4 linked regions of the Astyanax mexicanus genome follow. The protein of the gene in region 1 purifies or fractionates together with the protein of each later gene. This does not show direct contact. Links are inferred from orthologs where the notes say so. Each region holds a gene or a part of one and is shown in the gene's direction. Other genes may lie near its edges.

Evidence for each region.
Region 2: the proteins of cdk1 (region 1) and cdkn1bb purify together in Homo sapiens (affinity purification with mass spectrometry; 8 studies listed by BioGRID and IntAct, counting the BioPlex papers as one, with this or other methods). This does not show direct contact. The link is inferred for Astyanax mexicanus from reciprocal best matches to the Homo sapiens genes CDK1 and CDKN1B.
Region 3: the proteins of cdk1 (region 1) and ccnd1 purify together in Homo sapiens (affinity purification with mass spectrometry; 4 studies listed by BioGRID and IntAct, counting the BioPlex papers as one, with this or other methods). This does not show direct contact. The link is inferred for Astyanax mexicanus from reciprocal best matches to the Homo sapiens genes CDK1 and CCND1.
Region 4: the proteins of cdk1 (region 1) and ccnf purify together in Homo sapiens (affinity purification with mass spectrometry; 3 studies listed by BioGRID, with this or other methods). This does not show direct contact. The link is inferred for Astyanax mexicanus from reciprocal best matches to the Homo sapiens genes CDK1 and CCNF.

Annotation. Positions count from the first base shown.
Region 1 is NC_064421.1:44,353,839-44,361,073, forward strand, and holds the start of cdk1 (cyclin-dependent kinase 1), read left to right. Parts: upstream 1-4,229; 5' UTR 4,230-4,387; intron 4,388-5,566; 5' UTR 5,567-5,579; coding exon 5,580-5,616; intron 5,617-6,165; coding exon 6,166-6,322; intron 6,323-7,235. UniProt on the Homo sapiens protein: Plays a key role in the control of the eukaryotic cell cycle by modulating the centrosome cycle as well as mitotic onset; promotes G2-M transition via association with multiple interphase cyclins.
Region 2 is NC_064409.1:49,297,308-49,304,350, reverse strand, and holds the start of cdkn1bb (cyclin-dependent kinase inhibitor 1Bb), read left to right. Parts: upstream 1-4,027; 5' UTR 4,028-4,397; coding exon 4,398-4,794; intron 4,795-6,058; coding exon 6,059-6,177; 3' UTR 6,178-6,192; intron 6,193-7,043. Other genes in the region: yars2 (tyrosine--tRNA ligase, mitochondrial), read left to right, coding at 86-241, 662-832, 2,098-2,257. UniProt on the Homo sapiens protein: Important regulator of cell cycle progression. Inhibits the kinase activity of CDK2 bound to cyclin A, but has little inhibitory activity on CDK2 bound to SPDYA. Involved in G1 arrest. Potent inhibitor of cyclin E- and cyclin A-CDK2 complexes.
Region 3 is NC_064423.1:33,877,840-33,885,657, reverse strand, and holds the start of ccnd1 (G1/S-specific cyclin-D1), read left to right. Parts: upstream 1-4,802; 5' UTR 4,803-5,155; coding exon 5,156-5,353; intron 5,354-6,929; coding exon 6,930-7,145; intron 7,146-7,583; coding exon 7,584-7,743; intron 7,744-7,818. UniProt on the Homo sapiens protein: Regulatory component of the cyclin D1-CDK4 (DC) complex that phosphorylates and inhibits members of the retinoblastoma (RB) protein family including RB1 and regulates the cell-cycle during G(1)/S transition.
Region 4 is NC_064426.1:40,349,062-40,356,103, forward strand, and holds the start of ccnf (cyclin-F), read left to right. Parts: upstream 1-4,033; 5' UTR 4,034-4,228; coding exon 4,229-4,241; intron 4,242-6,873; coding exon 6,874-7,028; intron 7,029-7,042. UniProt on the Homo sapiens protein: Substrate recognition component of a SCF (SKP1-CUL1-F-box protein) E3 ubiquitin-protein ligase complex which mediates the ubiquitination and subsequent proteasomal degradation of target proteins.

The DNA of each region.
Region 1 (7,235 bases):
ATGTCTCAGCTGACCTAGAAGTTAAATGTGTGTGTGTGTGTGTGTGTTATTACACATTGTAATACCAACAAATCAGAAAAAGCAAATAAGTAATGTCTTTCTCACATGTATTTGATGGCAGACCGTATAAATCCAGGGTAGACTTAATTTATTGGTATACTCAGTAGAAAAAGTGTTGTAAGAAGGAACAGTAACATTACAAAGTGGGAAATGCTTTGGCATTGCCTTTTTGGAAAGTGTTGAGGCCTGAAATGCAGGAATGGATGTTTAATAACACATAAAGTTGAAGTTGAGCAGATAAAACATAAAATATCTTGGGTTCATACTGTTTGCAATCAAAGTCATGATAACTCTAACATATCTAACTTTTGTGTTGTGTTGTAAACCATGATATATAAAGACATACATTACTCATCTATTGGCTTTAATTAATTTATTATTATTTACAATCCATATGAATCCAGAGCATTTTTATTTTAAGTTATTGTTGCTTTTATCTAACAGGCTCCTTTATTCATCAGTACATGATGGTCCCCTCAGCCAATTAGAGCACAGTAAATCTGCATATAAATGTATTTGGGATGCTGGAGTGAGGGTGTGTTTAATTAAACTCAGTTCCTCTGGGTCTGGGTCTGAATGAAAGCTTTTGTTCCTGTATGAAGGGAATGATTTCTCTGCAATTATAAAATCCTGCTGCGCTCCAGTGCCTCTATTGTGTCTGTATGCAGGTCAACTAAAGCCAAAAAGCAAATACCCAAAAATTCCCCAGTCCCCCCTCTTCCATTTAAATGTAGTCAGAATGTACCTGCTGGACTGTCTGAGGTGAAACAGACTAAAACTAGAATAAGTTTCTTCAGCTTCACTTGGCCTGAAACTTATTATGCATCAGGATCATATTCTCTGCCCGTCACTTACCTAAAATATAAAGGTATTTATATAAAGGTTTATTTGTGATAAGTGCCACACTTAACCCTTGTGTGGTGTTCGGGTCTGTGGGACCTGTTTTCATGTTTCATCAAATGATACTAAAATATATTTTTTCTAACTCATTTTTCTAACGCATTGGCTCATTTTTTGTGAAAAACATATATCAAAACACATTTTCGATAATCACACACTGTACACCCCCCTCCCCAACCATTTATATTACATACAGTATATTTGGCCAAGGGCTAATAAACATTGCTTCATTTGTAAATTTGAAACTAAACAAATTTTCTACTCATATCTTGAGTTAAATTCATTTTCTTTTACATTTTATTAAAAAACTAATAAAAAAAAGAGTAGCACTTTTTTAAAAGAAATGTAACATAAGAAAGGTAAAGGGCAAATATTAACCATGTAAGCTGTTTATATTGCTTGCAATTTAGGTGAAGCAAGCATGTGTAAAGCATTTTAATGTAAAAATTGCTTAATTTTGCTGAATTAAATACAAGTAACAAAGTAAACGAGTAACAAAAATATGAACCCCACACAAGGGTTAAGGGAAAAATCATTTGTGGTGTAGTGAAACATGATAACTAGTACAAACTTTTGTTGAACAGCCCTCCTCCTTTTGCCCCCAGCATTCTGAAATGCAGTGCTTTTAGCTAATGCTCCCAACAGGCTTACAATGCTAGTGATAAAAAGAAATCCCTATTTTAAAACCAATAACATGCTCAATGTAGCTCCACACTTTGAAAGTGCACAGGTAGTTTATTTTAAAAGACTGTTTATACTCACAGTACCTTGCCATCTAAATTCAGGTGGATTAGCGCCCCTTTAATGGTGCAAATATAGCGCTTTATTTGATTGGCAACACTATGCCCCTATTACTAGCATTGGGAGCATCAGCTATAGGCGCCGTATTTTGGAATGCTGGGGACGAATGGAGGTGGGCTATTCGCCAAACGTTCATAGCCATTATCATGTTTCACAACACCATTATGTCCATTACACCACTACAAGTTAATTTTACAGTGGGTTTCTCCTTTAAGGTATTTCATGGTCACATCTGTTTTGCAGCCAGCATTATCCAAACTTATTTTTGCTTGCTTTTTTTAAAAGGGTACATAATGTGTGTAATGTGTAATGTTCGTCTTCTAAAGTAGTATGCTAATGTAAACCTCACATTTTAAGCATTGTTTTGGTTTAGTCAGGCTTGTACACAAGTCTTGTTAAAACTGCGAAATGTTAAATGGTCCACTTTTTCCGCAATATTTTAGCATTTTATCAGAGGTTTATGACAATAACACTGATTATTTATTTGTTTTTAAATAATATTTCTAGGACTATCATTGTTTTTGACAGGCAAAATGTGTAATACATTAGTAGAAAGTTGTTTTAATGGGAGTAAAATGTGATATCACTACAGTCTGCTGTGCTAGGAGGAACATTTTTTAATGACAGCCAGTTTGTCTTTTGTGTTAGGGGTCTTCTAATTTTACTATAACACAGTGTCACAGTAACAGTACCTGTAACATAGCGCCTTTGGTGTGTGTGTTTACCTTTACCCAATAATGGCCTGATCATGACCGTCTGGAAAACAGGCTGTACAGAGGAAACAGCGACTCCACTGGTGGCCCACAGAATTACACTACACTTATGAGTCGTGCTGCAGTGGCCTCGTGTGGCGGCGCGCGATACCCATACCTGTCAAGTTTTATATTTAAAAATAAGGGATATTTTCCTCCGTCCGCTTAAAGTCGTCCCACCAGCCCAACCAAGATTTAGTATTCCTTACATTTTAAGACAGGTTTACAAGAAATCTAAAATAACCACATGTGAACCACTTACACACTAAATTTAGATTATCAGAATCTGATATACCTCTGCGCTCCGCGAAACCAGCAAGCTGATTGGCTGTTTCTCCTGAAAGGCGAGACTTTCTCCTTGAACCGGCACCACGATTGGTTAAGAGACACAGATCGGTCAGTGCCCTGTCTCCTCAATAATAAAGTTTTTTTAATTTTAATATAATACGGGAAATTTACGGGAAAATATTAATACGGGAGGACGGCGGGAAAGAGGAGTAAAATACGGTAGTTTCCCGGCCAAAACGGGAGACTTGACAGGTATGGCGATACCTCATGTTGTAAACAACTCCACATTAGTGATTAGAGGGCACATTTCAGGCACCACTAATGTCCAAACACTACCCCTTAATGATCCATTAGATACACACACACACATGCATAATTAATACACTTAAAGGAAGGGACCAGTGCAATCTGTCTTGTGGTCCTCTGAGGCTGGGTCAATGTTTTATAGCTGGCGAAAGCCTATACATAATGCAGGTTTGCCCCTATGTTTTAATGTGCCCTATGTTTGTTCTATGTTTACAGTGAATAGTTAGATTAAAAAAATAACAGTTATTATTTACCCTATATGTAGTTGGTTATCTGTGGCATATTCTGTGTCCATGTTAGTGCTGGAATTACAAGGCCACACAATATTATAGTCTCATACTGAGACATATTTCCCATATTGGTAAATATCTGGATGTCCAGTTAAGAGTGTGCTGATAAAAAAAAAAAAAAAAAAAACGGGTGTCGGGTGTTAATTGGGTCATATTGTTAGTGTGAGTCATGCATATATATGTACCAGTTTTAGAACAGTTCACTTTTTTTAACTTTCCAGTAGCAGTGCTGTATGGCCCGTAAAAATTTGTTTTTTCATTATTTTGTCATCTTAAAATTATCTTAGCAATGACTTTATTGTTTCACTTTACCTGAACAACTGAGACCTAATCCAATGTATGTTAAGCTTAGCTAAAGATGTTGCATGTTACATGTTCCAGCACTGCTTTACTACAGTTTATTTTTATTGCTACAGACCAGTGCTAAGTTTTTAACCAATGACTTCTTTCCAACCACCCCTCCCTATTTTTGTTTAATATATGTTTTGTATATGCTTATTTTACAATATATATTTTCTTCTTTTTTTAATAAACATTTTTTCCTTTTTTAATGATTTACACAACCCTTTTTGGTGTATTTTTACAATATACACACACACACACACACACACATATATATATATATATATATATATATATATATATATATATATATATATATATATATATATATTTTTTTTTTTTTTTTTTTTTTTTTTTTTTTTTTTTTTTTTCAGGTATGGATTTCGTGACATTATATCCTTCGGTCGCGCTGTAAAGTACACCACTCCCGCCGGAGCTCTTCCTCCACCTGATTGGCCTGTTTAAAATCTGTCAGTGTGCTGTGATTGGTCCGTTTTGAATTGCGTCAGCGCGGTCAGTTTGAACGGGAGGAATTCTCCAACAGACAAGTTTACCCTCACTCTTACATACACACACCTTTACACACACTCACATTCACTCTTTTTCACACACTATTCTGCCGCCGGACAGCGTGTTTAGAGGACGCGGGTGAGTGTTCGGGCGCTATTTTCTGCGAATGTTTTATTTGGTCCGTAATAATGTTCAGTTAAAAGCGGAGGAGTTAGCATCAGTGCTAACTGTAGTCAGATCCGCTTCAGCTTTAACTCTAGCTGTCTGCCTAGCGTTAGCTTAGCTTAGCTCGGTCAAATCTGCTGTAAGTACAGTTGGTTTTTTTGTTTTAAGTAAACATTAGCTAAATCATTAAAACGAGTAATAGTTTGTGTAGCTTTTTATCTAAATTAGATAACCTAGGTTAGGTGACTTATGGAGGACAGTGACAGGAGACTGTATAACCATGAAGCCCTAATTTCTGCTGAAGTCTTCTTTGACATAATTAATATCAAATGTATAACTAACTAGTTAACAAGCTTAGAAAGACAGTTTATCACAGGCTGGTGTGTGTGTGTAGGTTTATGAGTGTGTGTTAAACGGTTTTATGTACTTAATATGACATTAAAATGGTGTAGGTTAAGTTCTGTAATTAGCTACAGTGGGACTCAGTTTGGGCTGTGTGCCAAAAAAATAAAAAATAACTGTTAAGTTTTTGTTGTTTAGTTAAACTATTGTGGTTATAATAAACATTTTATCCGAAGGGCTGTTCAGAAACAGCAGCTACTGTAACACGACTGAGCCTGAACAAGAAAACAAAAGGCAGTCAGAATATATAATAGATACAAATATATATATACAGGTAAATCTTATAGAATAAAATGCACCTTTTTTAGATGTTGACATAAAATGTCAGGATAAAGTAACTAGCTAATTACATGTGTAGCCCAAGCTCTGTAATGCAATGTTAACTACTGTAACACAAATGGACTTAAGCAGGAAAACTACAGTGTAAAGGCAAATGAAACCCCATTTTGATGGCTTTTATAAATACCAAGATTGGATGTTTGTTTGAAATCATGCAGTCAGTATATGTGTAGTTATTCATGTTTTTAATAATAACAATAAAATCCTTTTTAATGCAAATGTAATTGTTTACTGCGTTTAGTTTAAGCCACGGTACGTCTGAATCTGATTGTCTTGTGTGTCTGTGTGCATAAATACAGTTGTCTTTAAAAAAAAAAAAAACTGTACTGGTCTATACTGTAATTTTACAAACCTTATGACATTCTACAGCTGCAGAAATTTTTAAAAGACTGAATGTGTTTCTCTCCACAGAAAACTGATAAAAATGGAAGACTACATGAAAATAGAGAAAATTGGAGAAGGTGAGTGATAACTGTGCATTAGTATCTTCAGAAACTAGCCTGACTCTGATTTATATTATTCAGCTCTGGAAAAAGAGACAGCTTAAAAATGCTTAGTTTCTTAGATTCTACCAAATTGAAAACCTCTGGAATATAATCAAGAGGAAGACTGATGATCAAACCAAGCTAAACTGCTTGAATTTCTGCTCCAGGAGTGGCATAAAGTTATCCAAAAGCAGTGTGTAAGACTAGTGGAGGAGAACGTGCCAAGATGCATGAAAATTGTGATCAGAAAGCTCTGCATCTTTTTTTTTTTCTATTTTCTGGAAATAAATGCTCTAAATTAATTTTTTTTGGGGATTTTGCAGAAATGTTAAAACAATTTTCATTTTACTGAAACATATACTTTTAAATAGCAAAATCAGATAAACTGGTTCAGAAACTGAAGTGGTCTCTTTTTCCAGAGCTGTATTCAGTGTGTGATCATATTGTAACCAGCAGTAATGCTATATTACGTACGTTAGTCTTATTGGTGGTAAGAATTGTCCTGTGTGTGTTGTCCTGTCTTAGGTACATATGGAGTTGTGTATAAAGGTCGTCACAAGTCCACGGGTCAGGTGGTGGCCCTGAAGAAGATCCGCCTGGAGAGCGAGGAGGAGGGGGTCCCGAGCACAGCCGTCCGAGAAATCTCTCTGCTCAAAGAGCTTCAGCACCCTAACGTCGTACGGTGTGTACACTTGTATATCTATGATGTGTTCTCATATGCTTATACTACACTTTTATTTAGGTAATTTTTTTTTTTGTGTTTTGTTGGCTCAAAACTGAACATGAAAAAAAAATAATCAAAGTATATTGTTTTGCTATATGTATAATTTTGTCAAACAGTACTGATTATTAATTATTCCTTTATATTTAGGAATTTGTTAATAAAGTTCACTCTTGTTTAAACCATTTAATCCCTCTAGGTAGAAGTGTTACACTCCACTGTTGTGATTGCATTAAAAAATACAATTCTTTTACTTATAGTATAAAACATTATGTATAAAATATCACTTTAATTTTTTTTTATTTAAACAAGTGCAGTTTATTGACTTGTTTACAGTATCTGATATAGTGTGACATATTGATATATTTATTTGCATAAATTGTACACTTATTTGTGTAAAGGTTTGCTGCACTATATCCAATTAAACAGGAGTTACAACAATCAGGTTTATTTAGTGGCATTATCCACGGTGTTTTCCAAAAAGCAAAAGTTCATGACAATAACTGTGTCATAGTACCCTAATATAGACCTGCAAACATGTTTATATTTTGTCTTACAATATTCTAGTTTGAAAAGCAAGTTTACAGCGTAGTACCTGCTTAAAAATATGATAATGACATATGATTAATCACATAATATTGTGTAAATTTAATACAGCTAATTGTTTTGATTGACACTGAATTATTATTTAATTTTCCCAATCGAACAGTGATTAATTTATTTATATTTAAGTATTCACTATTTAAAGCTTAAGGAAATCTGGTAGATCACATGGTTTACACATATTTAAACTGGTGATTTTTAAGTTTTTTTTGTCCTCTCCCTTCTTCCTCAAGTAAATAATTGTTCATTTGTTACTGCCCATTGGAGTTAT
Region 2 (7,043 bases), on another chromosome or scaffold:
CTAAGCAAAAGATGTTTGTGTTAGTCTTCCATGTGTGTGTGTGTATGCATTCGTGTTACTAAGCTACAGGGTCCTTCCCCCACAGCTACATTAAACTGTTCACCTTCTTGCCGCTGGCGGAGGTGGAGAAGGTGATGGAGCAGCAGAGACGGGATCCAGGCAAGAGAACGGCCCACAAACGACTAGCTGCTGAGGTTACCAAACTGGTACATGGCAAGGATGGTCTAGAAACTGCCAAAAGGTGAGAACATTTTTTATAACATCAATTCATACAGTACAATGCAAGTTAATAGAGAGCCTATTTAAGCCGTTGTGCCATGAACATGAATAAAACCACTAGAATGTATGTACAAGAGTGAATGCAAGAAAAGGTTTAAAATCTTAAATGAATATAATAAAACTTATTTGTGCATTTTTGCCCGTAAATATTTTGGTTTTAAAAAGATGTGGCTATTGACGTGCTGATTGGTTGGCAAACTGATTACGTCATTGGCCAAGACAACTATTAAAACATAACAGGAATGTGGAAGCATTGCGTTATTCTGTATATAAGAAAGATTGTAATTGTTTCATTAATCATTTACCAATTTCAAATCTCAGTGGAATGCAGATTTTGTTTTGAGCAGTGTAAGATAAACTCTGTGTGTTTGTATTTGTCCAGGTGCACTAATGCTCTGTATAACAGTAGCATTGAAGCTCTGGAGCAGATGGATGATGTGGAGCTGAAGGAGTTGTTCAGAGAAGCTCCGTTTAAGGAGTTCTTTTTGGAGCCAGGCACCACAGTACTGGATGCCTGTCGGAGGGCCCAAGTCATTCCTGAAGGACCTAAAGGGTACTTTTTAATTATTTGTTGATATATTAAACTGTACTGTTTATGCTGCTATCAAAACCCTGTTGCTCACCTGCCATTTAATTTGGAAGATATTGGGGTAGTTTCTCAGGCAGGGATTAAACCCAGGTTTAGATTACGCAGCATTTTCAATGGACAACTTTTCTTTGAAAGAAAATTATAGTCTACAACTAGACTCAGAAACTGACCTATTGAGTCCTGTTTACCATATTTTTGAACTGCGCACTGAATCATAAGGAGCACTATCAACAAGCGTCTATTTTCTGGTCTATTTTCATACATAAGGCACACCTTATTATAAGGCGCCTTAAGGAACACTAGTAAGAATGCATACTTATTAAGTAATAATTCAGTTCAGTTCTGATTCAGTTCACCTCTGAGGGTGCCTAGGTAAACAAAACTCTTAAAACCGAATTCTTTCAGAGTCAAACGAGCACTGGATTAGTGCTGGGCAGTATGACCGAAAATGTATATCACAGTATTTTTCAAGATTCTATCAGTGTTTTTTTTTTTTTATTCATTCATTGTATGACTAGGCTTTTATATAGGTTTGTGACTTAGGAGTACATAAAATAAAACACTAAGGCTTTAAATTAAGTCTTTGATTACTACTGGATCTAGTTTGTCTTACAAAATTAGACAATATATGAAGAAATCAGATTTTATTAGCAGAAAAACAGCTGAAGAATATAAACAATAGACCTTAAATACGCCATCATCTTTAACAGGACTTCCTTTTAAAAAAAATAGCTAAATATTTTAGTTCCATAAACACTATAAATGGACCTAAAATACTCATTAAGTATTCAAATGAGATATTTCTTAAATGTTCTATTGCACAAGTAAGACACAAGTTTAATATCAATTTACAATGTTTTTTTTTTAATCCATTAGAGGCATTAAAGTATTACAATCAGCCACAATTCCCTTCTTTCCCCAGTTAACAAATAAAAGGGCTATATATAGTTAGCCCTTTCTAATATGGGTGTTTCCATGTTGTACATTCAGTAATAAATTAAAGGACTGGGGAATGTGTTGTCTCCAAAAACGTTTATGTCTATGATGCTATTACAGATGTAATTGTTCTTTGTGATAACACGCCACCTTGAGTGTTTTATTGTTCTACAGTAATTCAGAAAATAAAGACAGAAAGAAGCTTTGATATCAGCAGTTTCTTCTGAAATGTCTGTTCCTCTTTATAGCATTCCTTTTTATTATGTATTTATATACTATGTGTATGTTTTTAGGTTTCAAATGATAACAGACGGCGGTGTTTGGTTCAACCACCAGAGGGCATCCAACCCGGAGCAGGTCCTGGTTCCCGGACAGCATATACTTTCCAATGGACTCAGTTTGATCAGAGTGGGCAAGAAGAACTATTACATCCTGAAGTGGCTCAGTATGTGATTTACTTACACCGAAGCGAATGTCTATATTTATTTAAAGAAATATGGATAAAAGATGCAGTGTGCTGCACAATGACTAACAATCCATACACAAATCGAATTATGCGGGACCCACAAAGATTTTGGGGCGTGTCAGACCACTGGCAGGAGGACAAGCAAAACTACACTAAATCCTGAGTTGATATAGAGAAACAGACTGGCAGAGGATAAAAAGGAATGAAAGAGGAGAGTGTGCACATTTGTGTCTTTACACACTTGTGTGCACGTATTTCAGAAATAGTTGTACTGTTTGTGTGTATATGTAATTCTGAATCACACCACCAGATGTCAGTAAAGGCCTTTTCCATTTTTTGTACAGGTTTTCTGTGTTTCTGTTTTATATTTATTGTATTATGGATGCTTTCCAATTAATTCACTCTATCTGCTTTAGGACCTATTCATCTTTTTATGATCTTTAACTTTGTTAGAATGTCTTTAAAAAAATCAACTGATCTGTTGAACTGTTTCTGATGCAATTCTTTTCAGTTATGTCTTACAGCCCATATTTTGCTTACAGCTAAAAACACGTTATACTAACAGCAATAAAATAAGGTTATATAAGAATTTTAGGATGGCCCAGTCGTATTCCATATGCTAAAATAATTTTTGCCCAGTTTAATTTTTACACTAGTTGGACATTTCAATACTGAAACTGTAGTTGGTTATAAATACAGTATAATGTACACAATGAGAATTTGTCTTACTGTAAGCATGGTTATGGTTTAAAAAAACTGAAAGTTGGAAAAATAAGAAAGGAAAATGGTGTGCCACTGACTTTTATGCAGTTCAAAAAGTGTGTACTTTGCCTGAGCTTTTAAAAAAACAGTAAACAAAAAAAGAAGAAAAATATTATTTTTCCCCCAAACAAACACCAACAAAATCCAACTTAAACCTAGGTAAAAATGCTGTGAGTGTGGGTTTCTGTGCTTTGCTCTGTGAACAGTAACTGTGTTACTCTGTTTGGCTCATTGAGACACACCTATGTCCTAATCAGAGTAGTAGTATTCCTGGAAGAGTCATTTCACTGGTGAACTTTTCACTTCCAGGAACAGACACAGTTCCATTTTTGTTTGCTACGTCTCTTTATTTCTCTCTGTCTACGGAATGCCCCAAATGACTCAGTGTTCGGTATTTCATATTTAAAATTAAACATAACCAGTAACAAAAAAACTGTGCAAATGTTACATGTGTTAATAATTAGACTAACATACTTTTGCTTTTTAATTTAATCAGCATGTAAAGTCTTTTTTTTTTTTTAAACTCCTGGTGTTTTCATGTAGCTACAAACCCCCCAGAGATGATGCATGTGTTTTTACAAATATACTTTCTAGCTTTGGTTGGTTTTGTTTAGAGCTGAAGCTGGATGTGGAGTTGTTTTATTCAGGGATCTATTCAGGAGTGTCAGTAACAGGGTTTTATGAACTGCAGTTGCTCTGGTTGGTTATAATTATTTTAAGAAGAAACAGAAGAAGGCTGTGTGCAGCTTGTGTGGACGGTGTTGGAGAGGTGGTGTGTTGGTTGTTGTTAGTGTAGTAGTAGTAAGCCTACCTTGCAGTGCTGCGTGTGTGTCTGTTTTTTTTTTTCTCTCTCCTCAGGGTGGGGGAGGTGCGCTGTGCCGGAGGAGCTCAGCGTAGAGGGGGCGGGGCCTGTGTCGTCCAGCCAATCAGCGAGCACCTCCGTTTAAATAGCTCTTTGTGTCAATCATTTTTCTCTCCACTCAGCCTCCCCTCTATCGCCATATTGGGCACCGAAAAGCCTGCTGTTATTTTCTTCCCTTTTACTACGAGGCGAGGCTGACAGGAGTGCGCACTTCGTCTCGCTTTGACTGCGCTTTGTTTTGATGGTCTGTGGAGGGGAATTTCTCTCGGCGTGTGTTTTTTCCTCGCGCTCTCACTCTTGCAGAGCATGCACGCGCTTGTGGCGAGTACAGCGTGTGTGAGCGTGAGCGTGCGTGTTTTTCTGGATGCCTGCTGCTGTTGTTGTGCAGCGCGTTGAGCCTGGAGGAAAGCGCCTGTTTTGAGTCGCTGTTTGTATCGGTTATTTTGTGGGTTTTTTTTTTTTTTTTTTTCACACGCCAAAAAATAAATAAAAATAAAAGAACGATGTCTAATGTGCGTCTCTCGAACGGAAGCCCGACCCTGGAGAGGATGGACAACCGGCCGCCCGACCAGCCGAAGCCGAGCGCCTGCAGGAGCCTGTTCGGGCCGGTGGATCACGAAGAGTTAAAGAGGGAGTTAAAGGGACACTTGATGGCGATGGAGAAGGCGTCGACCGAGTCGTGGAACTTCGACTTCTCCAACTTCACGCCTCGGCGCGGCCGCTACCTGTGGTCCCCCGTGGACAGCACGGACTTACCGGGCTTCTACAGCTCGACAGGGAATAAGAGCGTGGATGTAAACGGGAATCACGAGCGGCTCGCGGAGCGGAGCGAGACCCAGACCGAAAGGAGAGACCCGCAACAGAACGTCAAGAACAAGAGAAAAAGACCGTCGTCCCTCGGTACGCAGTGCTAGATCTTATTTTTGTTTCTTCTGTGTGGCGAAGTGAAGTTGTTTTTATTATCTTGTGTGGCGAGTAGAAAACGTAGCTAGCTAACGAGTTAGCCAACTAACCTAAACTCTAACTAGCTAGGTTAACCGACGTATGTAACGTAACGTTACGAGTGTGTGTTAAAGTACCTTAGCAGAAAACGTAAATTACTATTTTAGCCAACTAAACTAAAGCTAGGTAGCTAGTTATCTAACCAACACGCGTACGTGTGTTTTAGTCCGTGTTAAAGTACGTTAACTAACGCTGCGAGCTGTCGTTAGTTTTTTCGTAATAAGTGATCAGCGTTCACAACCTCTTCATTTCAAAATGTAACGTATCCAGGTAAACTAGCGCTACTAGCTGTCCTAGCTAACGTTAGTTAAGTTAACAAAATTTTAACTCTTAATTTAGTAACGTATATTTATTAAAATGTGTTACTGATAAAATGGCGCTTTTACAAGAAAAGTAAAAAAATATAGTAACTTAGTTACGTTAGATATAATATGGCTTTATAAACTATCTCCACTAATTTAAATAAAGATAAAATAAACGTATTTTTAGTTGCATTAGATACATATTTTTAACGTTGAAGACAAAAAATCATTAACGTTAAACCTATCATTCAACTTCTACCCAATATTATTTAAATGTCAATGTCTACACTGCAAGAACACAGTACAAGGTATGATATATAATGTAAACAAGAATAACATACATGTTTGATGTAACCTAAGTAACTGTTATAGTTTAATACAAACAGTTGCTACATATTAAAACAACGTTAAATCAACCTTAAATAATCGCTGCGCACGAACAGATCAGTCCTTACGTCTGAAACTAACGTCGTTTCAGAGCTTTAAAGATGGAAAAATGAACGTTGGTTCAACGTACTTTTGCTGTCTGGCTACTATTTAATTGCTATTTATATAATTGCTCTGGTTTTAGTTTGTGTATTATATATTTGTGTATATATAGCTATAGCAGAGCCGGCCAGGCAGTTAGAACAAAATCCTACCTGTACTAATAGTAATAGTAAAATACTTAACTAGCCGATCTAGCGTTAGTTAGTTTATCTACATTTAAAACTCCACAGCTCGCTAACAAATATACAATGGTCACAGTCTAATAGGTACTTCTTTTTTGTTGGAGTTAGTCAAACATGTCTAGCTCCATTTGTAGCCAGAATCCCTCATTGTGTGTTTTATTTATTTTTTTTATTATCTTTCTAAATTAGATTCCTCGTGTCAGACTAAACGCTCGCGCACCTGTGTGGATGAAGTCTCGTGCCGGCCGGGTTTGACCCAGGCGCTCGATCACACACCCGTGAAGTCGAGCCCCCAGCGGCAGACGTGAGCGAGCCGTGTTGAGGTAAGGAGAGCACCACGTCACCTCACTGTACTCAAACACCACGAGAGCTGATACTACACTCACTGATGGCTATCTGTGTACTGGTCAAAGTGGATCAAATTACACTCCCTCGCTGAATTTTACAACACTGTTTAGCTATGTTCATTTATATTTGCCCAGTTTGATAGGCCTGTCACAATAATTACATTATTGACTTATCGCACAGTATTATGTACATGACCTAAATCATTTTCACTGACCTCAATGTTGTCTGTTGAATCTACTTGGCTCACATTTTAAGTGAACGAGCCATTTGTTAAAACATTTTTTCTGTTTCTGTGTCTGATGAATATATTAAAATCTCTTTCTCATTAAAAGTAATGTGTAAATACTTTTATTTCTATTATCATTAAATCAATGAAATAAAATAGTCTTAAAATTACAATAATATCATTGCTATTGTTTGTGGGGTCTATTACGAATTGGTTATCGTGACCAGGCTTACACCCAGTATTGTAGCAATAGATTCAAAATGGTTGCACATAAACAAAAAAATAAAATTAAGGTAAATGTTTTTACCTTTTGGTCTTAGGTGCTGGGAGCTGGATTACCTTTTGTTTTGTTTTTTTGTTTATATGATATATTTTTTTATTATTTTATCTTATTTTAAACATTAAATGTATTATAATATCTCTTAACTCGTCTTAATCACTTGTCTGCATTCGAGTTAAGGATTCGCATGTTTTCTTCACTCCTGCCGTGCCGTATGTTATCAAACTTTGAGCATTAAATGTCCTTTCCATATTTCATTATGTTTAAATCTATTTATGATTTGTGCAGCTACAAGGCTGTATTTTAACTTGGAGACACTT
Region 3 (7,818 bases), on another chromosome or scaffold:
TGACTGCATAACACAGTACTGTACTTTTACTTTCAGTACTTCACTATTACATTTTTACTAAACTACTTGCAATACCTAAAGTAAGTGTGGAGCTTAAAGAGCACTTCAACTTCTACTCTCATCGCTTTTTTGATTAGAGCACTTTTACTCAAGTCTGAGTCTCTAGTACTTTATATATCTGGTTACTGTTGAATATTATAAAAGATATCAATATAACAATTTTGTGTCCACAGCATAGTTGTTTAAATTACATACAAACCCAGTCTAACATTTTATTTTTCAACATTTACTCTGAATTAAAACATTTCACTAATATTATGGAATGTTTCCTTCACTTTGAAGAATTGTGGTACATTAGATACTCTTCTCTTTGATGTGGATGGCAGATTGTTTGGCATGTCCCCCATGCTGACTTGTGAAACTAAATATTTCTTCTAAAATACAAATAGGTTCTTGTCCCTGTGATTAAATGTTTATGCCTGCCTATTTTTCCTCTCCAGCAGTACGGACTGGTCACTTGCTGCCTAAAACATAGATCCCAAACCTAGACAGCTGCCATTGTAACCAGACAGTCTATATTATTTATGTTCCCTCTCTGTGGTATTATTGTTATGGCTAATTGACGTATATGCATAAATAACATGCAAATGGTATTTATGCAGGCCTTCTGAGTTAATGACAGGTATTATTTGTTTGAAAATAATATTAAAATACATGCAAAGAAACAGTACAATAGTTATGTGTTAGCATTTATAATCCATTATATGAGGTAAACATTATTTAAGGGTTTCGGTTCCAAAATAATTTAAAAGCCATTTAATCATTTTTAAAGTTGTTGAGAGTTAGCTTAATGCATACATTTTAGCGGTAAACTCTTACACACACTGAATAATAAATTACTTAGTATATATATATATATATATATATATATATATATACTTTTGCACTAAACATACTTGACCATTCATCCTTACATTGCATACTAAATCAAATTCTATATTGTACATACCTAAAATTAAATATATTTTTTACCTTTCAGTATTTGTTTCCTTTATTATTCTTTCATTAATATTATATTTTATGTTATTATTTGTTATTAAATGAGATCTTGTTTTTTAAAAGTTATATAGTTCATCCTATTATCCTAGCTTTTCACTCTTTATATCATATAAACTTTAATTCAATTAGTTAGAATTTTTAACCATTATTAGAACAATAATTGTGTTTTTATTTTGTTAAATTATGTTTTAAAACAGTGTATGTGTAACAGATATTAAAAAACACAATCCTGTGTTCTTCACTGCAGTCTTTAAAATGTATTATATTAATAAAATAAGTGTTTATTGTATGTGCGGCATGTGTTTTACTGTAAAGGAGACTTTTTACTCCAATATAATGTATTGCACTCTGTTATCTAAAAAATCTAGTCAAGTCAAGTCAAGTAGTTTTATTGTCAATACTGCATATGTACAGGACATACAGAGAATTGAAATTACGTTACTCTCCTTCCCAATTTTACAGCAAGTACAGATAATAGATATAGTAAAAGAGAATGGGAGAAATTATGGGTACAATACAGCAGGGACACAAATAGACATACATGAGACAGAAACAAGGTGCAGTGGTGTGGGGAGAAATAGATATATAAATATAAGTAAAAAAAGAAATAGATATATACTATAAAAGAGTGGGAGACACTATATGTACAATACAACAAGACACAATAAACATACGTAAGACAATAGTGCAATATTGATGGTGATTGAGATGGAATGACAGTATAAATAGTATATATCAGTAGTGCAAATACGGTATATGGTATATAGCTTAAGGCTGGTAAAGTGAATGAGTGCGTAAAGTTCTTAAAGTTCACAGTTTATGGGGAATTAAAGTGCGAATTGACAGTGCAAGTATATCAGTAGTGCAGGTTTGGGTGTGTAGTGCAAGTCCGTTTGGAAGGGACCAGTACTTTGTGCATTGTAGTGCAGAGTTTCAGTACTGTATTAGTGGGGGGTCAGGATTCTGAGTGAGTGAGTCTATTTATTGTTATCTATTTATTGTTTAGGTAACTTTTTTCAAAGTGTCCAAATAACGTACATTTTGTAGGAAAATTAAATCAATGTCAGATAATCAAAAACAATTGATTATTAAGGTAAGTTTTTGTGTTTTATGTTTAATTAAGTCGTTAAGTTTAATTGAAAAGTTTAATTGAAATCGCTTTTTAAACAGCTGTTTTTTCTCTGAAACTCAGAGAATGTCCTTTCAACTTGCAGAACAGGCCAGCAGCAATACTACACACATTCATTATTTCTGTAAAAAAAAAAAAAAAACTGCCATATTTTAATAACCCTTAGTTTTTAACCCCCTGGTTTTATGACACAACATTATACAGCTGTACTTAAATAAATGGTAAATTCACTAGTTACAATAAAATTGTAACTCAGTCTGAAGTATCATCTGAGTTCACTTTTATTCATGCTTAGCTGGAGCTCCCTGATCAAAAAAAGGAACATATTGAAACAACGTTCATTAAAAATATCTGAGGAAATGAACGAATGTAGCAACACTGCATCCAGTTCTTCTTTTAAATGAAGAAATAAAACACTGCTCTGCATTTATGATGCAAGTCTTTTAAACTCTGAGAACATGTGAGAATGGTCTCTGCTGAAAGGGACATTTGCAAGGCCTTAAAACTTTCTATTCAGTTTACCGTATTAGCAGGAAGAGCAGCACAGGCACAAACTCACATGGTCTTTCATTCAACAAAGACTCTGTGTTGTAGCTCATGCATGTGGGTGCAGGGTGAACATGCAGAACAATGCAGAACTATATATAAACTGTGGAATCGGTTTTAGGATATTTGGATGGGCTTACATTTTAGCAAGTAACAGGTTGAGACCCACTTACATGCATATGATTTATCTTTTTCAGATTATTTATCTATGTCTTGTTTAACCTAGAGGCTTTTTTTTCTTTATATGGTTTATCTAACGTTAAATTAACATTTTATTAGACCTTATACAATGCGTGCATATAATCTATCTCAGACTTTTAATACATATCATATGTACTATTATAATTATAATTATTCAGTAGTAAATTTATAATTATTCAGTAGTAAACATGGAAAAAGCAAAGCAAATATGGGTAGGCTTTCTTGAGTTATATGATTCTTGTATTTGGTTATTTAATTTAGAAGGGTTAATGTTTACTGTGAAAATAAACTATGATTATAAGTACTTTAAAACAGCGCCTTCTACAGATATAATACAGCTTATAATATGTGAATAAAAATGTAACAAAACATTAGCAAAAAAACATACTTTATATATTTTTTTAGTTTCAAACTGTTTAGCACTTCCTTGTTCGTGTCATGCTGGTATGTAACTGCTTTGTAGTTGCTTTGTTACTGTGTGAAAACTTTTGTGCCCTTTTCCACATTTACAGCAGTGTTTTTCTGCATTTTAAACAGCCTCCTTTTTTAACCACGGTTTAAAACTTCGTATATGCAGCGAAACAGCTCCGTGTGCAATCTAAAACAGAGTTTAAAAAAGTTTACATTGTTTATGTAAGAAGCAACAGGCAACTTTTCTTTCCGTTTTTTTTAGCGCGACTGTATTAGATGTTATACGGTATCCAAAAGTGTCCAGTCAGGAATGTGAGGAATTTCAAAGGCTCCAATTCATCCCAGCGACAGCCAGCAGTGAGGTCTTTAAAGTGAGAGCGCCCCTATTTGAGCAAAACTGTTAACATCACACACTCACACACAAGTCTGAGACTTGAGAGACGCATAAAAAATAGATATATATATTTAAAAAAAAAACTTATCATAGATCCCTTAAATAAATCTTTAATATTTTTTCGACTTGTCTACTTTAATTAGAAATAACTTGAAATTATTTGATGTAATGTTTTTAACTTTTTTTCCCCTTTTCTGATAATGCAGAGTGTTAAACTGCGAGTCTCTTTATTGACTTCTGTCTTTACTTTTCTCTTCCTGTCTGTGATCAAACTGCGGTAGTTGTTGTCTTTTTGTCTCTTTTTACTTTTTTCACATTCCCACACACGTTCACCCAATGAGGGGCTGAGATAAAAAGCTCCACAGCTCCAGCCGCAGTTCTGCCTGGCAACTGAAGTTTGCGCTCATTGGTTCACGCTAATTTCGGCTTCCTCCTCTTTTTCTCTTTTCTTGGTGTGGAAGACAAAGAGCTGCTACAGCGTTTAAAACCTCATTTCCCCTAAGTTTCACAAGTTTTATGGCAGCCTGTATCTAAAAGAATGCGCCACAAGAGAAGTAGAAAACGCATTTACAAATACAATTGTAATAGAATGGCAGCATTTGTTTTTATTTTTTAATCACACAGTTTTATTTTAAACTTATTTTTGAGCCTATAATATTACTGTAGAAATTGTGAACATGCATAAACGCACTCTAATAACGCACTAATATACTAATAATAAACCTAAAGCCTGACAGTTTCTAGAAAGTCCAGCTCCATTGCGCTTTAACTGATAATAATTAGGGTCGGTGATTTGTCCTGTTATACCGCCCCCTACCAACATTTCTAGACATTTACACATCTTTACACCACCACCACCAAAAGCACCAAAAGCACCAGCAGCACTCTCTCACTCATACTCATTTGATACCCCCCCCTCCCCCTCCAGCCTAGCTACACCTCCTCCTCCTCAAAAGCCCCCTCGCTCCTCCTCTGTTGCCTACCCCCCACCGTCTACCCCTCAGCCGTTCGCCACCCGGGGTAAAAGTAAAAAAAAAAGGACCTCCCATTTCCACACTGGCGGCAATAGAAACGACCACAAAGTTCTCTCTCCTTCGTACACTCCCTCTCTCTCTCTCCACCTCCCTCTCTCTCTATCTCTCTCAGGCCGCGCGCGGCGCTTTGATCTTCCTTAACAACAGTCACGTCATCCAAAGGATTTTTTTTCTTTGGTCAAGCGGTGGATTTTTCTCTCTCTCTCTCTTTCAGTCTCTCATACAGACAGACGCACACTCTCTCACACACTGAGTATAGCAACCGCAGCAGCAGCAGCAACAACAGCAGCCGCAACAAGAGCATCATCCGCGGGACGCACGCTTTAATCAAGTGCTTCAATTAAATTATCTGCCGCTAAAACTGTGATTACCCCGAAAATCATGGAGCACCAGCTGCTGTGCTGCGAGGTGGACGCCGTGCGGAGAGCCTACCACGACACGAACCTGCTGAACGACCGAGTTTTACAGACCATGCTGAGGGCTGAAGAGACCTACCTCCCCTCTCCAAACTACTTCAAGTGCGTTCAGAAGGAAATCGTGCCTAAAATGAGGAAAATCGTCGCCACATGGATGCTGGAGGTTTGTGTTTTCAGACAGAGGCGTTTTAATCCCATGTCTTTAACATTGCACAACTTTTTTGCGCTTTATTCTCTTCCTCTCCCTTTCTCAAGACGATTCTCCTCACGCTCTTTGGACCTCTATCTCTCCGCACAGGCCTGGTAGAAACCGGAGGAAACGCTTTAAAAAAACATTCTCTATCAGTTTGTCACGGCTTAAAAGCTATAAAAGTGGATTTTAATGCTCGAAAAGTGTCCGAAATACACTTTCTAAGCCACTTTGCTTTTTTTATTTTGAGAAAATAAAAAAAACACCTCAGGAAAGTAAGTTAGCTATAGGAAGTCTCGAGCGATTTTTTTTTTGCGAGGAGGTCTCCTTTCCGCTTTAAAAAATAAAAATAAAAAAGCCTCGCAGAGATGTGACCACTTTCGCTTCGTTTTCTTCCCCACCCAAAGAAAGATCCTCAAAAACATTTAATCGAATTTATTTCGATTTAATATCGATGTACACGTATGCAATCCCACTCGTGCCAGTAGCCTATTATGCGCCATCTTTGCTGCCGCGCCGACACAAGTTCTAATAATATGTTAAAAAAACACCTCAAACGATTATAACATTTGAAGACAATGTGCGAGAATCACTCTTTATCGCACATTTAACTTAGTGTTTGGGGACTGAGGTGAATTTTGAGGTGCAATGTAGTGGTTTAAGCTCTTAAAACTTTACTTTCAGTTCAGACACGAGCCCCTCCGCTTGTCGGCTTCTGAAGCTCCAAGACGTACAAAAATGTTATTTTTTACGTTTCTGAAGCCGAACACAAGCCCGAAACGGTTCGGGTTCGGTTCCTTAGGGTGTGAGGCGGATTTAGACGTGTATAAAGTGGGGTTTAGTGCGCAAGAATAATTTATATTAATTTTTCAAAGCGCGCTCGCGGCGTCGAGCATGTCCTTCAGTCCACATTTTCACTGTCGGTGACATTTAAATTAAATTTACCCCTTTAACCTTCACAAATTCGACGTTTTTCGATCGGAAGCGATAGAATATACGTCAAAGGATATTTAGAGACTATTTAGGTGCGCCGCAACAATTTTGTTATATTTTTAAATATTTTTTGAAAAGATGACGAACTAGAAATTGTGACGACACCTTTGTAGCATTCTGAAGGAAGCAGCCGCTGCTAGCATGTGCACCACTGCTCGCGCTCTCTAGAAAGCCTCTGGTGCTAAAGCCGTGTTATCAGCTAGCTAATGCTTCTCTTTAATCTAATTATTAATACATTTATTTGCACTGCAATAGATGGATTTTTTTTAGGCTTTTCAGTATTAAAGCTATGCCCGGTGCACACAAAGCACGTGGGACTTCCACAAGTCCATTTTTTCCGAGAATAAAATTTTTTTTTTTTAATCAGGCCTAATGTTTAATGTCTTCTTTTACAAATACTTCGTTTAAGACTAAGTGCAATCAATCTCACTGCTTGTCTTTCTTGTATTTATTTTCTTCTTTTCTTACATTAGAAATCATATGTAAGTTGTCGGCTTTATGGCTTTGTTTCTCAACTTTTGTGACTCCTGACTCAAAAACTCTTCTCTCTTTTAAGGTGTGTGAAGAGCAGAAATGTGAAGAGGAGGTTTTTCCCTTGGCTATGAACTACCTGGACAGATTCTTGTCTGTGGAGCCCACTAAGAAGAGCAGGCTGCAGTTGCTTGGAGCTGCCTGCATGTTCCTGGCCTCCAAGATGAAGGAAACCGTTCCTCTCACAGCTGAGAAGCTCTGCATATACACAGACAACTCTATTCGTCCATGCGAGCTCTTGGTAATTAATTACATTAATTATAACAACACAGTAATACACTGAAGTTTATGAGGTTGAGAGGGTTAATCACTCTTGGGAGCTTTTTTTGCTTGCATTAAGGTTTTGCAGGATGCATGCAGTGTTGCAGTGCAGTTCTGCATTTTAGTTTTTAGTCATAGACAAACCCAGAAAGTGAGAGAGAGAGCGTTTCAGAATGGAAACTCCCTGCATGTCAGCATTTAAATGGTTGTGGGTTGAAATGTACTGCTAATTGAATAGCTTAAATCAATTGAATAGCACAGTGCTATTGTAGCTCCTGAGATATGACCCCATCTAGTGGTCGACCGTTAGACTACTGACTGCTTCTGCTCAGTGAGAGCACACATGGTGGAAGCGTGAAGAACTTTTTGAAGTCCTTTATGTAAACCGCCGCTCTGTTCTCGTGTGTCTTTCTCACAGCAAATGGAGCTGCTGGCGCTGAACAAGCTGAAGTGGGATCTAGCCTCAGTGACACCACACGACTTCATTGAACATTTCCTCACCAAGCTGCAGATACACCAGGGCACCAAGCAGATCCTGCGCAAGCATGCCCAGACGTTCGTGGCTCTATGTGCAACAGGTATGTATGCGTGATCCACATTTATACCTCTCTCTCTTGTTTTTTTCTTCTTTTGACCAATATGTTTTTGTGGTT
Region 4 (7,042 bases), on another chromosome or scaffold:
TATAATAATGACTTGGTCTTTCATAATAATGACTTACTACCACAAATATGACAAATATGACTGTGTCATAATAATAGCATACTTTCTAATAATATATCCCATCATAATGGGATATTATCCTGATTATGACTTACTCATAATCTCATAATAATGACTGAGGACCTAATAATTATGACTTAATATCTTATAATAATGGCAAAAGAATGTGTCACTGTTTAAATATGTGTCACGCATGCACTGTATTATATTAATGCCTCTGGTTAAATTGAATAAATGTGAATGTAAAGGATCGGAGAACAGTAATGAAAGTGTAATTTCTGTACGAGACGGACACCCTTTACTGCCATGCTGTTTCTGGTTGCCATGGAAACGCTTGAGCAGTGCCTTCAATCCTAATTTGGCATGTCTTGTCCACACAAACACACACACACACACACACACACTCACGGTCCTAGTAAATACGGGTCATTTGGTCGGGATGCTGAGAACCCTGATTGGAATCGCACTGCCTCTAATTACATGCTGCTTTTGTGTAGCACCTGGAAACAGAGGCAGCACTTCCTGATGGATCGGTTCTGTTCTCCCGGGCTTTAATTCACTGACCCGGCCTCGCGGGCACAGCATGAAAGGAAATCAATCCTCTAATCAATTTTTTTAAATGGCTGTTGGGCTTTTGAGACACAGTTGGTGTTAATGCAGTTTTCACATGGGGTTCATACTGAAAATCTGACCTGATGTCATATTTCTGATCCAGGGATTTTATGGCATTATTACAGAGCATTAGTGTTGAACAACAGTACGGGGTCTCACTGTCCTGTTTTTTTCTGTTTTAAAATCACCTGCATATTACACATCTCTTTTAGGAAGTGAGCATGGCTTCAACAGGCCAGTATAGTATCTGTACCCCCTTCTTTAATGGCCACGCTTTTGTAAGAATGTGTGCAGCATGTGGTTTTACATTGTTGATCTCAATGCACTTTTCTGCATTAAAAAATAAGAGACCACTTCAGTTTCTGAATCAGTTTCTCTGATTTTGCTATTTATAGGTTTATGTTTGAGTCAAATGAACATTGTTGTTTTATTCTATAAACTACAGACAACATTTCTCCCAAATTCCAAATATAAATATTGTCATTTAGAGCATTTATTTGCAGAAAATGAGAAATGACAAGAAACCAGTTCATATTCATAAAGTTTTAAGAGTTCAGAAATCAATATTTGGTGGAATAACCCTGGTTTTTAATCACAGGTTTTTTCATGCATCTTGGCATCATGTTGTCCTCCACCAGTCTTACACACTGCTTTTGGATAACTTTATGCTGATTTACTCCTGGTGCAAAAAATTCAAGCAGTTCAGTTTGGTGGTTTGATGGCTTGTGATCATCCATCTTCCTCTTGATTATATTCCAGAGGTTTTTAATTTGGTAAAATCAAAGAAACTCATCATTTTTAAGTGCTCTCTTATTTTTTCCGGAGCTGTATTATACTTTTTTTTAATTATTAGTTATAATAGGTTAGAACAGGTCTATGCTCTATACAAAACACGATCATGAAGTTCTTTGCACAAAATCACTCTCACATAAAGATAAAGAGATCTCACCAGCTTTATTCTTACCAGTTTCAGTCCCTTTTAGAATGAGCCATGTTTACGCTGATTGTTTACCACACATTATAGTTAGCTTGTGCTAAACAGCAAAACATGGGACCTATTTTAATGATCTATAGCGCATAGTGATCTATAGGACGTGTTTGTGTGTCTTTGGTATCGTGAGGGCACAAAAAATACGCCTTTCGTGGTTCGAAACTGTCAAAAGGCATGAACAAATTCTCTTAATTAATCATGGGTGGGTTTTGGGCGTAATGTGAAATAGACCAATCAGTGTGTCAGTTGTCATTCCCATTAAGAGGCAGGTGAGCTCTGACTTTGGCGTGTTCGTATCTTATCAGAGGATACTGACCTGCGTGTTCACAGGTCATTAATTGACTGTTGTCAGGGTTTAATCAGTCAGTGGAGCTCCTTTTCCACCTCCAAGATAGAAACGGTGTGGGCACAGCGGACGGTAGGTTCAGATCCCTCCCTCAGACCGAAATTGTGTTTCTTTAACTGATCTAGTGAGTGGGTAGATCGGTGAGGGGTGGAGCCAGGGTGGTTCTATGCTGGTTTCATTATTGTGACGTCAGCCACCCAAACAGCTCATAGAAGCAAATGATTCCTGACCCAAACTCTTTCAGCTGATTCACAGAAAACGAATGGCTGGATTTTTTTGGTGATTGGAGTGTTTATAGTGTTTATAGGGGCTGTTGTGACCCAAATGAAAATATAAAAGCATGCAAAAAGTAAATTTTACATAATATGCTGCTTCATCCATACAATGACAGATACTAGCATCTGGATGGTATCAATTTCTAAAAATAAAAATAAAAATAAATAAATACTGATTAATCTGAACAAACACACGTTTATGCACTGAAAAATCTCCCAATTCTTTAAATGGTTTAATGATATTATATTATGGGCTGCAAAGGGAGAAATGTGCAGTTTGCTGGCGGTGCATTTGTGAAAGTGAGCCGTCAGCAGTTTTTGATTGTCTTGCTAAAAGTCACACTGTCTGAAACCGAGGGGACAACTTCCTGTGGTGGGTTGTGGTAAACTGAGTGGAGGGTTCCAGATTACAGTGCACAGTCCATACATATGTTATATAGTTTAAGACTTAGTCAAACATCATATATTATAGATTCATATAAGACTGTAAAGGTTAATTTAATTGATATTGTCATATGTAAAGTTAACTATACAGCATTGTATACTGAAACTATCAGCAATAATTAACACAAGATCGCTTAACACGTAACATTTGTTTCATTAGTACTCATGCTGAATTCCATTTTAATTCAGATCTGGAAATTCCAAGTTCCCAGGAGGGAATTTTAGCTGGAATTCTTCACCCATGTCAGATTTCCTACTCAGACCAAATGAAATGACTGGATACACAGTAATATAGAAGTTGAATAAAACAAGAAGAACCAATTCAACTCAGGATTTCATGATTTGATTTTAACTCATGCATTCAATGTTAGCCAAATTCCACCCAAACTGGAAAAAAAGAATGAGTATAATTATTATTGTTATTTATATTATATTTGCTGCACTTTAATGAATTTAACATGTTAAAGCTCACTTTTAAGGCTTTAGTATATTTACCATTAAATCAGCTCATATAGTACCAGTCGAAAATTTAGACACATATTCTTGTTCAACCTTTTTTTGTATTGCTGTATTTAATTTATTAAAGTTGGAGCATAGAGTAAAGAAAAAGCAGTTATAAAGAGGCAGCATCTCTAGAACAGTTGGAAGTTTCCATTCCAGGTTCTACCTCATAAAACTAACTGATAGAATCAGCCAAGAGTGGACAAAGTTGGCATCAAAGCAAAAGGTCCAATCTTATCTTAAAGATTTTAATCTATAATCTATAATATTTAATATTAAACATATTTTGGTGTGTTTTGACTTTTTTGTTCATTTCATAACTGCATATCGTCACTGTCCAATGCAAAACAAATATCTCCAAAACAGCAACGTCTAAACTTTCATTGGATGTCAATGTAAAAATATTGTTTTCCATTTTAAAGTATTTCTATTGGTCCATTCATCAAGAATGGATCAATAGATGTAATCTAATCTAAACTATCCATCGTGTTTCAGGCTCTATAATATCCTGATTACTATTTAAAATCTATATTCAACACACTTTTACAACTTTTTTTAAACTTCAAATGTAAATCCCGCCCAAAAATATACCTTTAAATGTATCGACCAATAGCAACAACATGGGAAACGCGCAATTCGAAATAGCATCCGTCTGTCCAATCAGAGGAGCGGATTTCAGTATTCGAGGCATACACCAATTGTACGCCGACTTGTGCGTCTGCGCAAATCGGCGGGGCGGGGTTTTGAGGGGCGGGCCCGGATTGTAGCCTATGAGCTCCCGAGGTTGATGTTTAAACCTTTGCGCATGGGCGGGGCTAAGTGCCTGGGGCAGGATCTGAGGCTCAGGCGGTGTGCTTAAAATTAATCAACAGCCCAGCACTGGGGTTAGCGGCTCCCTGTAGCTTATACTGTTTAATATATTTATAAATATATTTATATATATTCAGAATTTAACTGAAAATTGTGTATAATTCACTAGTTTCGGGGACTAGTTACCAACAGGGCTCATCTTCTACTGAAATGAAAGCGGGCGGTAAGTGATTCAGATGAGTTTATCTGAGTTATGTTGATACAGTTAGCTTAGGTTAGCTAGCGTTAGCACTGATTCAGCTCCAATGCCTAGTGTTATTTAGTCAAACTGCCTATTTATGTATTTGTTTATATTTTCAAAAACATATTTCTGTTAATGTGGGTTGCTGATAACTCTGTTTAAGGTCTGATTTTGTTTAGCTAACATTATATTGTAGGTTACAGATAACATACAAGTAACCTAGGTTAGGTAGTTAACGTTAACTAGCTAGCTAAGGACTCAAAACTCAAACAGAAACAGCCAAGAATATAAAAATAATGACTTTAAATAAAGCTTTAGCTTACTCAAATCTTTTAAAACAATATACTAATCAATATAATCGCAAATATAGTTAACCTACTAGTTATAGCTTCTCAACCAGGAAGCTAAGCTATAGGTTAACCTTACGTTAGCTGTTGGTGGTTTAAATAAGTAAATATATCCCACATCATATAAAGACTTTTACTTGTATGAAATTTTCTTAAAATCTATCGAAATCTAATACTATAACCAAATTAAATTAATCATTTTAAATATAATGATTGCTAATGCTTCACAACTCTTTAGCCCTAGTTTTTAAGGAGGGACTTTTCAAATGATGTAAGCTAACTATAGCTTAGCTAGCTAACTAAGTTATAGCTGCCGCTGGTTCATATAATTACAGGCTGTATAAATGTGTTTTAAGTAGTTAAATCATATGATTTTCTTATTATTAAAGTGGGCTAAGGAATACTAAGTTAATTATGCAGCTTCATAGCTAAGTAAGTTAGCTATAACTGTTGTTGGTTTATCCAGGCTAAGTGACTATGTTTAAATATGTGGCTAAATATCTCTCATCATATGAAAATTCGGTTAAGTAGATGAGCATTTTAAGTGATATAAAGATAGTTAGCTAATGCTTTAAAACACTGTAGCCCTAGTTTTTTGTAAGGATGGACTTTTCAAATGATCTAAGCAACAGTTTGTTAGTTAACCTAGCTAACTTAGCTAGCTAAGGACCCAAAACCCAGCCAGGAACTTCCAAATAATACCAATAATTACCATTTTAAATATAACTTGAGCTAACTCAAATGTTTTTTAACAATATAACCTACTAGAATATGTAGTTATTAGTTATATCTTCGTATGGCTAGGGAGATGTAATTAACAGGCTATGTGACTGTGTGACTTTAAGAAGCTGAACTAAATAACGTTATATCTTGCATAATATTAAAGCTTCTAAGCAACATTTTATGAAATAACCCCAAGTAGGGTATTTGTTAGTTTAGCTGTCATTGAGTCTCCTTTAGAATTCATAACCAGCTGATTATTTTAAATATAATAATAAGTAATACTTTAAAACTCTTAAGCCCTAGATTTTAAGGAGGGAACTAAGTAGCTTAGCTTGCTAGCTATCTAGGAGAGCCAGTTATAGCTCACTAAAGCTGTTGGTATCTTACTAAATACAGGCAGTGTAAATGTGTTTTAAGTCGTTAAGTCATATGCTTTTCTTATTGTTAAAATATAATAATGTATAATAGTTTTTTTTAAGTAGCTTCATAGCTAGTTAACTACTTTCATATATTTATATGAAATAAACAAGAGTATTTCTTAGTTTAGCTATGGAGTCGCTCCAGAATTTATAAATAGCTACTAATTTTTAATATAATAACTAATGCTTTAAAAGTCTCTAGGCCTTGTTTTTAAGGAGGGACTTTTCATATGACTTCCGATTATATAACTTAGTTAAACTAACTAACAAACACTTTTCACACATACAGGCTAGCTATCTAGAACTATAACTGGTGGTTCATCCAGTTGGTAACTATGATTTGTGTTAGTTATCATCCATCATCATTGCTAAATTTTCTTCGTTATCAATAAAGTAACATTATCTGTATATCTGTCTGTCCATGATGCTAGGGCAAAACTAACACTCTGGATTTCATGTTAATGCTATTTCCCTACACTTCTATTATGTGTTTTATTTTGTATATTCATCTTGATATATATATATTTTGCTCTTATTTTACTTTCATTCTATTATATATTTATTTTGTTAAAAATAGTTTTTTGGGTGGAACTGGATTGTAAGATTACAATTTCGTTCCACCTTATTTACCACATGTGATGTGAGTGACAAAGTTTCCTTGAATGCCTGTAAATCATAGGAGTTCTTTATTGTGACGTCTATTAGGAAGTACTTACAACGTATAAAAACTTGTATTAATTACATTACATTTGGCAGATGCTTTTTTCCAAAAGCGACTTACAGTAGTGAAGTACAAAAGTAATAGATGTTAAAAACATCTTTATATAGGGCCTAAAGGAGGTCAAAGGGAGATAATGGGATAGAGGAGTGAAGGAAGGGAAGTAGTTAAAAGTAGTTAGTTTGTTAATCAAACCTTGCTAACTTGGCTATCATGAAGTCTCTTCAGAAACTTTTTTTTTTTTTTTTTTTAACAGAAGGACTTTTTCTAGTTAGGGAACTAATGTCATATCAAGCTATTACTGCTGATGGTTTACTATGGCAAAACTATTTCAGTTGTATGTAAAAAAAATCTTAATATATGTTTATTAATGTCTAAATCTAATTTTTCTCATTTTTAATTTCCAGTGCTTCACTGTCGGTGCTCTAAATGTTATTCTCTGCCTGCGAGGAAACGGGTCCGAAAGCAGACCCGCTCCCTGACCCTGCTGTCCCTTCCTGAGGAGGTTCTGCTGTATGTTCTGCAGTCCCTCTCCGCCGAGGATCTGCTGGCTGTCCGAGCTGTGAGTGGAGACAT